2 linked regions of the Nothobranchius furzeri genome follow. The protein of the gene in region 1 purifies or fractionates together with the protein of each later gene. This does not show direct contact. Links are inferred from orthologs where the notes say so. Each region holds a gene or a part of one and is shown on either strand. Other genes may lie near its edges.

What was found.
Region 2: the proteins of acaa2 (region 1) and pgd fractionate together in Homo sapiens (co-fractionation; 3 studies listed by BioGRID). This does not show direct contact. The link is inferred for Nothobranchius furzeri from reciprocal best matches to the Homo sapiens genes ACAA2 and PGD.

The regions. Positions count from the first base shown.
Region 1 is NC_091757.1:55,590,427-55,595,074, reverse strand, and holds the start of acaa2 (3-ketoacyl-CoA thiolase, mitochondrial), read right to left. Parts: upstream 2,997-4,648; 5' UTR 2,860-2,996; coding exon 2,844-2,859; intron 1-2,843. Other genes in the region: mrpl40 (large ribosomal subunit protein mL40), read left to right, coding at 3,322-3,383, 3,536-3,619, 4,037-4,192, 4,314-4,395, 4,505-4,648. UniProt on the Homo sapiens protein: In the production of energy from fats, this is one of the enzymes that catalyzes the last step of the mitochondrial beta-oxidation pathway, an aerobic process breaking down fatty acids into acetyl-CoA.
Region 2 is NC_091755.1:29,354,878-29,359,473, forward strand, and holds the start of pgd (6-phosphogluconate dehydrogenase, decarboxylating), read left to right. Parts: upstream 1-1,679; 5' UTR 1,680-1,812; coding exon 1,813-1,820; intron 1,821-2,197; coding exon 2,198-2,273; intron 2,274-2,358; coding exon 2,359-2,538; intron 2,539-2,609; coding exon 2,610-2,675; intron 2,676-2,763; coding exon 2,764-2,882; intron 2,883-2,969; coding exon 2,970-3,039; intron 3,040-3,110; coding exon 3,111-3,245; intron 3,246-3,311; coding exon 3,312-3,501; intron 3,502-4,438; coding exon 4,439-4,569; intron 4,570-4,596. UniProt on the Homo sapiens protein: Catalyzes the oxidative decarboxylation of 6-phosphogluconate to ribulose 5-phosphate and CO(2), with concomitant reduction of NADP to NADPH.

The DNA of each region.
Region 1 (4,648 bases):
GAAATGACTTGGCTTTATTTATTATCGATAGACTTTTTGAGATTTTTTGTTTTGTGTGTCTGATGTGAGGTTTCCATGACAGTTTACTGTCTATTGTGATTCCCAAAAATATGCTTTCTTGTACCATTTCAATTTGAAAACCATCTATATTTATTGGCAACTCAAACTTTGTTTCTTGATTACCAAATTTTTATTGCTTTAGTCTGGTTTAAATTTAATGACAACTTATTGCTGTCCATCCATCTTTTAACAACAATCAATTCTTCATTTATTTTTTAATAAGATTTGGATAATTGTCACTGCTATAAAATATGTTTGTATCATCTGCAAATAAAATAAATTTTTGTGATGTAGATGTTTCAAAAATATCATTAATGTGCAAATTGAACAGACTAGGTCCCAGTACTGATCCCTGGGGTACACCACAAGCAATGTCAAGATTTTTTGACGCTTTCTGTCCAATATTAATATACTGTACCCTTCCACTTAAATAACTTCTTACCCAGTTCAATGCCACTCCTATTTTTATGTATAATCTCCATTCAACGTTACATTAAATAGCTTTCTCATTCTGATTTGTCAGGAACGTATCTGAACAGAGCTCTTATATACACTGCTGAAAAAAGGGAACACAAAAATAAGACATTCTAGATCTGAATGAAACATTCTTAATATTAAATACTTGTTAAATACTTATTAATACAGCCCATGGAGGTCTGGATTTGGAGTCACACTAAAAATTAAAGTAGAAAAACAAACTGATCCAATTTTGATTTACTGTGTTTAAAACAAGTCAAAATGAGGCTCAGTAGTCTGGGTGGCCTCCGCATGCCTGTACGAGCTTCCTACAATGCCTGGGCAGGCTCCTGATGAAGTGGCGGATGGCTTCCTGAGGGATCTCCTCCCAGACGTGGACTAAACCATCCACCAGCATTGACGGATGGAGGGAGACGTGATGTCCCAGATGTGCTCAATTTGATTCAGGTCTGGAGGCCAGTCCATAGCATCAATGCCTTGGTTTTGCAAGAACTGCATACACACTCCAGTCACGAGATCTAGCATCGTCCTGCATTAGGAGGAACCCAGGGCCAACTGCACCAGCATATGGTCTCACAAGGGGTCTGAGGACCTCATGTCAGTATCTAATGGCAATCAGGCTACTTCTAGTGAGCACATGGAGGGCTGTGTGGTCCCCCAAAGAAATGCCACTCCACACCATTACTGACCCACTGCCAAAGCGGTCGTGATGGACGACGTTGCAGGCAGCAGAACGTTCTCCATGGCATCTCCAGACTCTGTCACATGTGCTCAGTGTGAATCTGCTTTCATCTGTTAAGAGCACATGGCGCCAGTTGCGAATTTGCAAATGTTGGTGTTCTCAGGAAAATGCTAAACGTCCTGCATGGCGTTGGGCTGTAAGCACAACCCCCACCAGCCCCCAGCTCACACTGATGTGCCATCCTGGATGAGCTGCACTACCTGAGCCACTTGTGTGGGTGGGTTGTAGAATCTATCTCATGCTATCACTAGGGTGAGAGCACTGCCAGCATTCAAAAGTGACCAAAACATCAGCCAGAAGACATGAACTGAGCAGTGGTCAGTGGTCACCACCTGTAACAGTTCTCCTCTATTAGGGATGTCTTGCTATTTGCCTATAATTTCCACCTGTTGTCTATTTCATTTGCACAATAACATGTGAAATTGTCAATCGGTGTTGCTTCCTGAGAGGAGTTTGATTTGTGTGACTGACTTGGAGTTACATTGTGTTGTTGCCTTATGTGTCCTTTAGCTCTGAATCAGAGCAATCTGTGATACGTGTCAGGAAGTGCAGCACGTTTTGACCTGAACTGAAAGGAGGTGGGTTGATTTAGTGGTGATAAAAACCAAAGTGACATCAGATTTGTTTGTTGAGTGTGTTTGTTTACTGTTGTGTAATGTATCTGATTTTTCCTTCATTCTATGAGAAAATATCACTTAAACACAAAGCTATCAATGGAAACAAAGGAATCAAATAATAGTTAAGCGGGAGGATAATCAAAATATATCACATTTATCTTTTTGTATTCTAAAATATAAATCACATTCGCTATCAGATTCTATATTTTACTCATTTAGAAACTCAAATTCTGTATATTAAATTTGATGTTATTGTATGTTTGAAACTAGTAAACCGAGATATAAACAAAACTTTGTGAATAGTTGTCATGCAATAGTATTATTATGGCACGCTGAAAAACACTGATACAATACAGAATGTTTTATTTGTTGTCACTCACACACACACACACACACACACACACACCACTAAAATGATGAAAAATCATTAGGATAGTAGATAACTGTCAGAAGCATTACAATAGTTTCTATGGTTTAAAAATGATTTTGAGAGATTTTTTTCCCCCATTTTACACAAATTATCTGTATGGATTATATCTGCAGTTCACTGGGATTATTTTGGTCAGGTTATTAATAATACTACTAATAATAAAAATAAATTAAAAATGTAGCTCCAACTTTTTCTGCTGCCCACAGTTAAAAAAAAGCTAGTATTAAGAATTTATGACATTAAAGTAATCCAAAAACATACAATTTTACATCTAGAAGAGCTGTTAATAATCGTCCTAACACTATCCTGTCACCTTTAGCCTATATGGTGACGAAGTGTCAACTCACCTGATCTGGCATGTACAGTTTTACAGTACATTTGTAATTTCAGCATTAGCTGCAGGTCATTCATTGATGGTATACAACATAGCAAGAAAACGAGCGAAAATGTCCTACTTTTTGCTTTATTTACACTCAGTTTGCTGCTTTCTAAATGCTGAACTGAAGCGTTCGTTTACCTCTGAGAAGAGCCATGGTGTTGGTTCAACAATCCGCTTCAGCCAAAATCAAAGTTTTAAACAGATATCTTGCTGTTGCACTCTGCAAGCTGCTCACGAGCGTAGAAAGAGCCACTGCGACCTTTCACCCAAATAAAGCATTGGCTAATTTGTCGCTCACACAGACAGATTCAACAAAAAATATCTACATCAAGATTTAATATGAGCTTATTATAACGTAAAAGTTTCATTAAATACTTTTAATATCTTATAGATCATAAAAAAACGTCATGTGAATTTTTTTAAATTATATTTGTGTTTTCAAAAACTCTGAATCTGCGTTCGAGAAACTTGAAATCTTACGGTGGGTCACGTCATATTCGTGCGACATTTCAGCTGTGTTCGGTCCACATTGACATCGGGCAAATGACCTGTGAACGTTTTTGTTTAGTTTTTCACTCGGATTTTGGTTTTTAATTAAACCTACGTCCTATTAAACATGCATTTTGAATTTTCTCGATGTCTCTGCAGGGTTTTGTCCCGACACGCTGCTCCTTCACGGTAATAACGGTGAAAAGTGACGTGTCCTCCAATGAATGTTTTAGTATAGACTAGAGAAATTGTGATAAACTTGATCTGTGACTAAAATTACTCATTAACGCTGATGGGCGGCTGACTCTTATTCTTCTGAGTTTGTTTGTATTATTTTGCAGCGTCCTGTTGGGACAGCATAAACAAGCTATACAAAGTCCCTGGTTTTCACCTGTGGTCACCCTGAAAACATCTGCTCCACTGAGGTAGGATGAGACGAGCTGATTTTATAACACACCAACTTCTATGTCACTAATACACGACTTAAAACTGCTTATCTAGCCCTTGCTGTACATTTTCAATACACTATCTTTACCTTTTTTAATTTTCTCACAGATTGAAAACTAAAATGTTCCTTTAATTCCATAAATCAAATGATAGTTTCACAAACTCTGTCTGCCTTTGTTGTTTGTGGCCCACGTGTTCAAATATGGAAAAAATCCCATCTAACCCTAAACTTGTGGAAATTTTAGTAAAGCAGCAGAATACAGAACATTATAAAATGTGTATGCAAACAGTTACTATTACATTTGTGCTGAGTGTATTACTTATCAATGATTGAAAATAAAAAAAACCTGTGAATGAAATGCACTAACATAAAATCACGGTTTGTGTTGCACCAGAGCGGAGCAAAGAAAGAAGAAGAAAGTTGACCCACGGAGGGAACAGATGGCGAGGGAGCGGCTGAAGAAAAGGCTGAAAAAGATGGAGAAAGTACCGCCTGAGCTCATTCCCATAGAGGACTTTATGACATCAACCAAGTGTTTGGACGAAACACGGTAAAAATAATTCACTGTTCTTCAGCAATGGCAACTCCTAGGCAGTAAAACCAAATTAGATGATTGAATATTTGTTCAACGTTGGAGTTTTGATTTTACCTCTCTGTATTTATTCTTACAGAGTGCGCCCTGCTCCAAGGCTTTCATTCGAAGAGAGTGAAAGTCGAGCTCTCCTGTTGAAAGAATGGAGTCGATACAAACAGGTTAACATGTATTTCATCTCCTTATGTGTAAGATTTGATATAAAATGTTCATTTGACTTATTCTCTGCAAGATGCTTAGTTATAATGAAGTATGTCTTTTGTTTGGCAGAAGCAACACAAGGCTGAAGTAGAGGCTGTTGAACTTGCTTTGGAGGCGCAAAGGGAGGCGCTGAAGGAGCTCAAGTTGGAGTCCGAGGAGCTGTACCTGGCAGCACTGGAGCCAGATCTGCTCCTTTTCCCCTACACTCGTGAA
Region 2 (4,596 bases), on another chromosome or scaffold:
AACATACGGCCGCAGGTCAGATGATACGACTACAAAGTCTATCATCGACCTGCGACCTAGGCTGCCCTGGTACCAAGTGTACCGATGGGCATCCTTATGTTCGAACATGGTGTTCATTATGGCCAAACTGCGGCTTGCACAGAAGTCCAATAACGAAACACCACTCCAGTTCAGATCAGGCGGGCCGTTCCTCCCAATCACACCCCTCCAGGTCATGCTGTCATTGCCCACGTGAGCATTGAAGTCCCCCAGCAGGACAATGGAGTCCCCTGATGGAGCACTATCTAGCACTCGTCCCAGGGACTCCAAAAAGGGTGAGTACTCTGAACTGATATTTGGCCCATAAGCACAAACAACAGTCAGGACCCGTTCTCCGACCCGAAGGCGCAGGGAAGCAACCCTCTCGTCCCCCGGGGTAAACCCCAACACACAGGCAGAGAGTCTTGGGGCTAACAAAAAGCCAACCCCAGCCCTCTGCCTCTCACCCGGAGCAACTCCAACAAAGGAGAGTGTCCAACCCCTCTCAAGAACTTGGATTTCAGAGCCAATGCTATAGTAAGCCACCTGGAACCCAAGCCACATATGTGTCGAGGTGAGTCCGACTATATCTAGCCGGTACCGCTCAACCTCTGCCACAAGCTCCTGCTCCTTCCCCGCCAGCGAGGTGACGTTCCATGTCCCAATAACCAGTTTCCTTGTCCGGGGATCGGACCGCCAAGGCTCCTGCCTCAGTCTGCCACCCGATCCACATTGCACCGGACCCTTCATGTTCCTCCTGCGGGTGGTGGGTCCACAGTTGGATGAGCCCATATATCCGGTTCGAGCTGGACTCAGCCGGGCCCCATGGGCAAAAGCCCGGCCACCAGGCGCTCGCCCACGGGCCCCAACCCCAGGCCTGGCTCCTGGGTGGGACCCCGGTAACCCTCCAGGCCGGGTACTCGACTCTTTGTTTTTACGTCCATGAAAGATCTTCTGAACCGTTCTTTGTCTCACCCTTCACCTAAGACCCATTTGTCATGGTAGACCCTACCAGGGGTATCATATAAACAATGATGTAAAATAAATCTCGAAGATTAAGCTTTTGTATATAAATCCCCAAAAGCACCTCAGTGCTTCCGAGCATTTCCTTCTTATTAGGTCGACAACTAATGTGCAATATACACTAAACCCAGGATTTATTAAACTACTGATCTTCCTCCAACTTATTTTCTTGCAGTGTTAAAATGACAAAAATAAACTTCAGTCATTAACCAATCTGTGCTTAGTTTTAACATGTGTTTAAAAAGAAGTTTGCATTCATTCAGAGTCTCGACATATAAAAGAAAGTTGAAAAAGATTTTAAAAGTAAAGAAAGTTACATGGGAAGGAGAAAAAACTAATTAGAATATTCCACACACCTACAACGGTGTGAGATCAGTGAGAAACTTCTTGAACAAAACCTATAAGATAACTATTGTATATGTAATCGTGGGATTTATTAATACAATGTCACTTTGTGGATTTATAAATCCATTGTTGTTACCTGCATATCTGTTAGAGCTGCTGCGCCTGCAAAAACAACCAATAGGAAAGGAGATTCCTCTGCTCAGTGCTCTGGACCAATAAGAATACGAAGAGAAGGTGGGTTGTCATTTAGACGCTCTCTGATTGGTGGATCCTGTACGTGGGCGTGCGTAAGCTTTTTACTCGCGTAGAATCGGGAACGAGGAAGTAAAAAAACGAGCGAGGAAAAGTGAAGCAGAAAACTGGAGTCTGAGCTCGACTGTCATTTAGACACTTCTTACCTCGCCGTCACTTTACTCGGATACCACGATGGCTAAGTAAGTTTGAACTGATTCAGATGGTGAACATGTTAACTAGTAGTACTCGCTCGTAGTCGTTTCGTCTGTTTTTGAAGGTAGCTGATATATCAGTTAGCCTACCTGCTGTTGTTCGTCTTGTGTAGGTGTTTATCTTTTGTTTTGAGTGGAAATACGTTTAACGTGGAATCTGAACTTGGTGTGACCTACCGAGTAATCGCTATGGACTCTGTGAAATGAAGTGAAGTTTCAGGTTGACTTAAAGGTCTATGATTAAGATTACAACAACAAAAAGAAATCATAATCCTTTTAAAGAAGATTTACTAGTCTGTTCCGTTAGGGAACCTGTTGGCACGCGCCCATCGGGCCCTCTGAGTACATGTGATTTGTGTTCACAGAGCAGACATCGCACTGATTGGTCTGGCTGTCATGGGCCAGAACCTCATCATGAACATGAACGATCATGGCTTTGTGGTAAGACCTCCACTCCAGTTTGTTTACACTTCCATCGGGTACCACTCCTCTTCTTTTGTCTTGCTGAGCTTAGCCTGTCCAACAGGTCTGTGCGTACAACCGAACCGTGTCCAAGGTGCACGACTTCCTGCAGAATGAGGCAAAGGGCTCCAAGGTGATCGGAGCTGAGTCTCTGGAGGACATGGTGTCTAAGCTGAAGAAGCCCAGGAGGATCATCCTGCTGGTCAAGGCTGGGCAGGCTGTGGACGACTTCATTGACAAACTGGTTTGTGCCAAACTGCTGTAAAACTACATTTAGTGAACTTCTGATTTACTGACTTATTTACACTTTCTCAGGTTCCTCTTCTAGAAGCTGGGGACATCATCATCGACGGCGGCAACTCTGAATACAGAGACACAACAGTAAGTCTCTGAGGTTCATTTTTTGACAGAAAAGACTTGTTTACCTGTGTGTATATTTGTACCTTTTTTATGTGGTTGTTGCTCGCAGCGTCGGTGTAAGAGTCTGAAAGAGAAGGGCTTGCTGTTTGTTGGGAGCGGAGTGAGTGGTGGAGAGGAGGGAGCACGCTACGGACCCTCACTCATGCCAGGAGGACATAAAGAGGCCTGGTGAGTAATGAAAACGATCAGTAGAGATTTATTTGTTTATTTGTGTAAAACTGATAAAAATGAACATTTGATGTCACCGATGCCAAGGCCGCACATTAAAGACATCTTCCAGAGCATCGCTGCCAAGGTTGGAACAGGAGAGGCGTGTTGTGACTGGGTGAGTGCAGCATTTTTGCCTGTTTTCTTAACAAGTTGTTCCTGGTTAGATCTTATGATATTATGTGGCAGGTTGGAGATGAAGGTGCAGGTCATTTTGTAAAAATGGTCCATAATGGCATCGAGTATGGAGACATGCAGCTGATCTGTGAGGCCTACCACCTAATGAAGGATGTTCTGGGGATGGACCACGATGAGATGGCACAGGTGAGATTGTCAAAACATTATTTTTATACAACATCAAATATGGCTGACTGACTTTGATCCTCTCAGGCTTTTGATAGCTGGAACAAGACGGAGCTGGACTCCTTCCTGATTGAGATCACAGCCAACATCCTTAAATACAGAGACACCGATGGCGCACATCTGCTGCCCAAAATCCGGGACAGCGCTGGACAGAAAGGCACGGGGAAGTGGACGGCCATTTCCGCCCTGGAGTACGGCACGCCCGTCACTTTGATTGGTAGGAGAAATAAAGCTTTTACACACGGAAGTATCTAGTTTCTTTCCTTTTCTGGTAGTGCTGCTCTCAGAAAGTTTAGTTCCTTATGATAAGAAGAATGCCTTATACCACACCTTAAAAAGATTACAACATCAGCTAATGAAAGGCCAGTAATGACCAGATTTGTTCTTAACCAACACAAAGCTGTTAAAGGCGCCGCTTGTACAAAATGTTTCATTGTGTGTACTGGTCCAGCCAACATGGAGCAGCATGCATGGGTGGATTTCAGAGTAAAACTGGGACAGTTTGTCTTTCATCATCTGACCGGACAGTTTTTGCAAGTCATGCTGACTGATCTGGTATCCTTCTGTTCATTCAGAGGGGCGAGGATGTATGGCTTTTTTAATGAAGTAAGTGATGAGCTTCTTTTGTTGCTCAGAATGAGGATTTCATGTTTAAATGGGAAACAGAAAAAAAAGTCCATACCTGCTCCCTACTCGTGAGTAGCTTAGATGAATGTAGGAGTGTTTAAAATGGGTCCCATCTCACCAGTCCTGCAATAACCACATCAACTTCCTGTTTGTGAAAGGATGGATCTAAAACTGTTGGTTTTGGGTCTAGATGCATCTCCGTTACTTGTCTGAACCAGACATGTTTTACCCAGAACCAGAACTCCCAAACCCAGGAACTAACTCACTAAAAAGATGTGCAGAGACTTGTTCCTCTAAATCAGGATAGGAAAACACATAGATTTACTCCGTGTATGAACAGTGCTAAACAAATAAAGTTGCCTTGCCTTAAAAACGGTTAGAAAAAATGCTGAGTCATGCTGATTCAATGTTTTGGCGTTATCCTGCATGTCGTCTTTCTTTGCTATGCTGTTTGTTGGTTTTTGTGGGACAAATGCAAACATGTCCACCCGTGTTTATCTGTTTTCTCCCATCTCTCTCTCTCTCAGGGGAGGCCGTCTTCGCCAGATGCTTGTCGTCTTTGAAGGATGAGAGGGTTCAGGCCAGCCGCAGCCTCTCAGGACCGCAGGGGGTCAAATTCAGCGGCAACAAGGCTACGTTTCTGGAGGACATCAGAAAGGTTAAACCCACTCTGTTTTAATGTTTT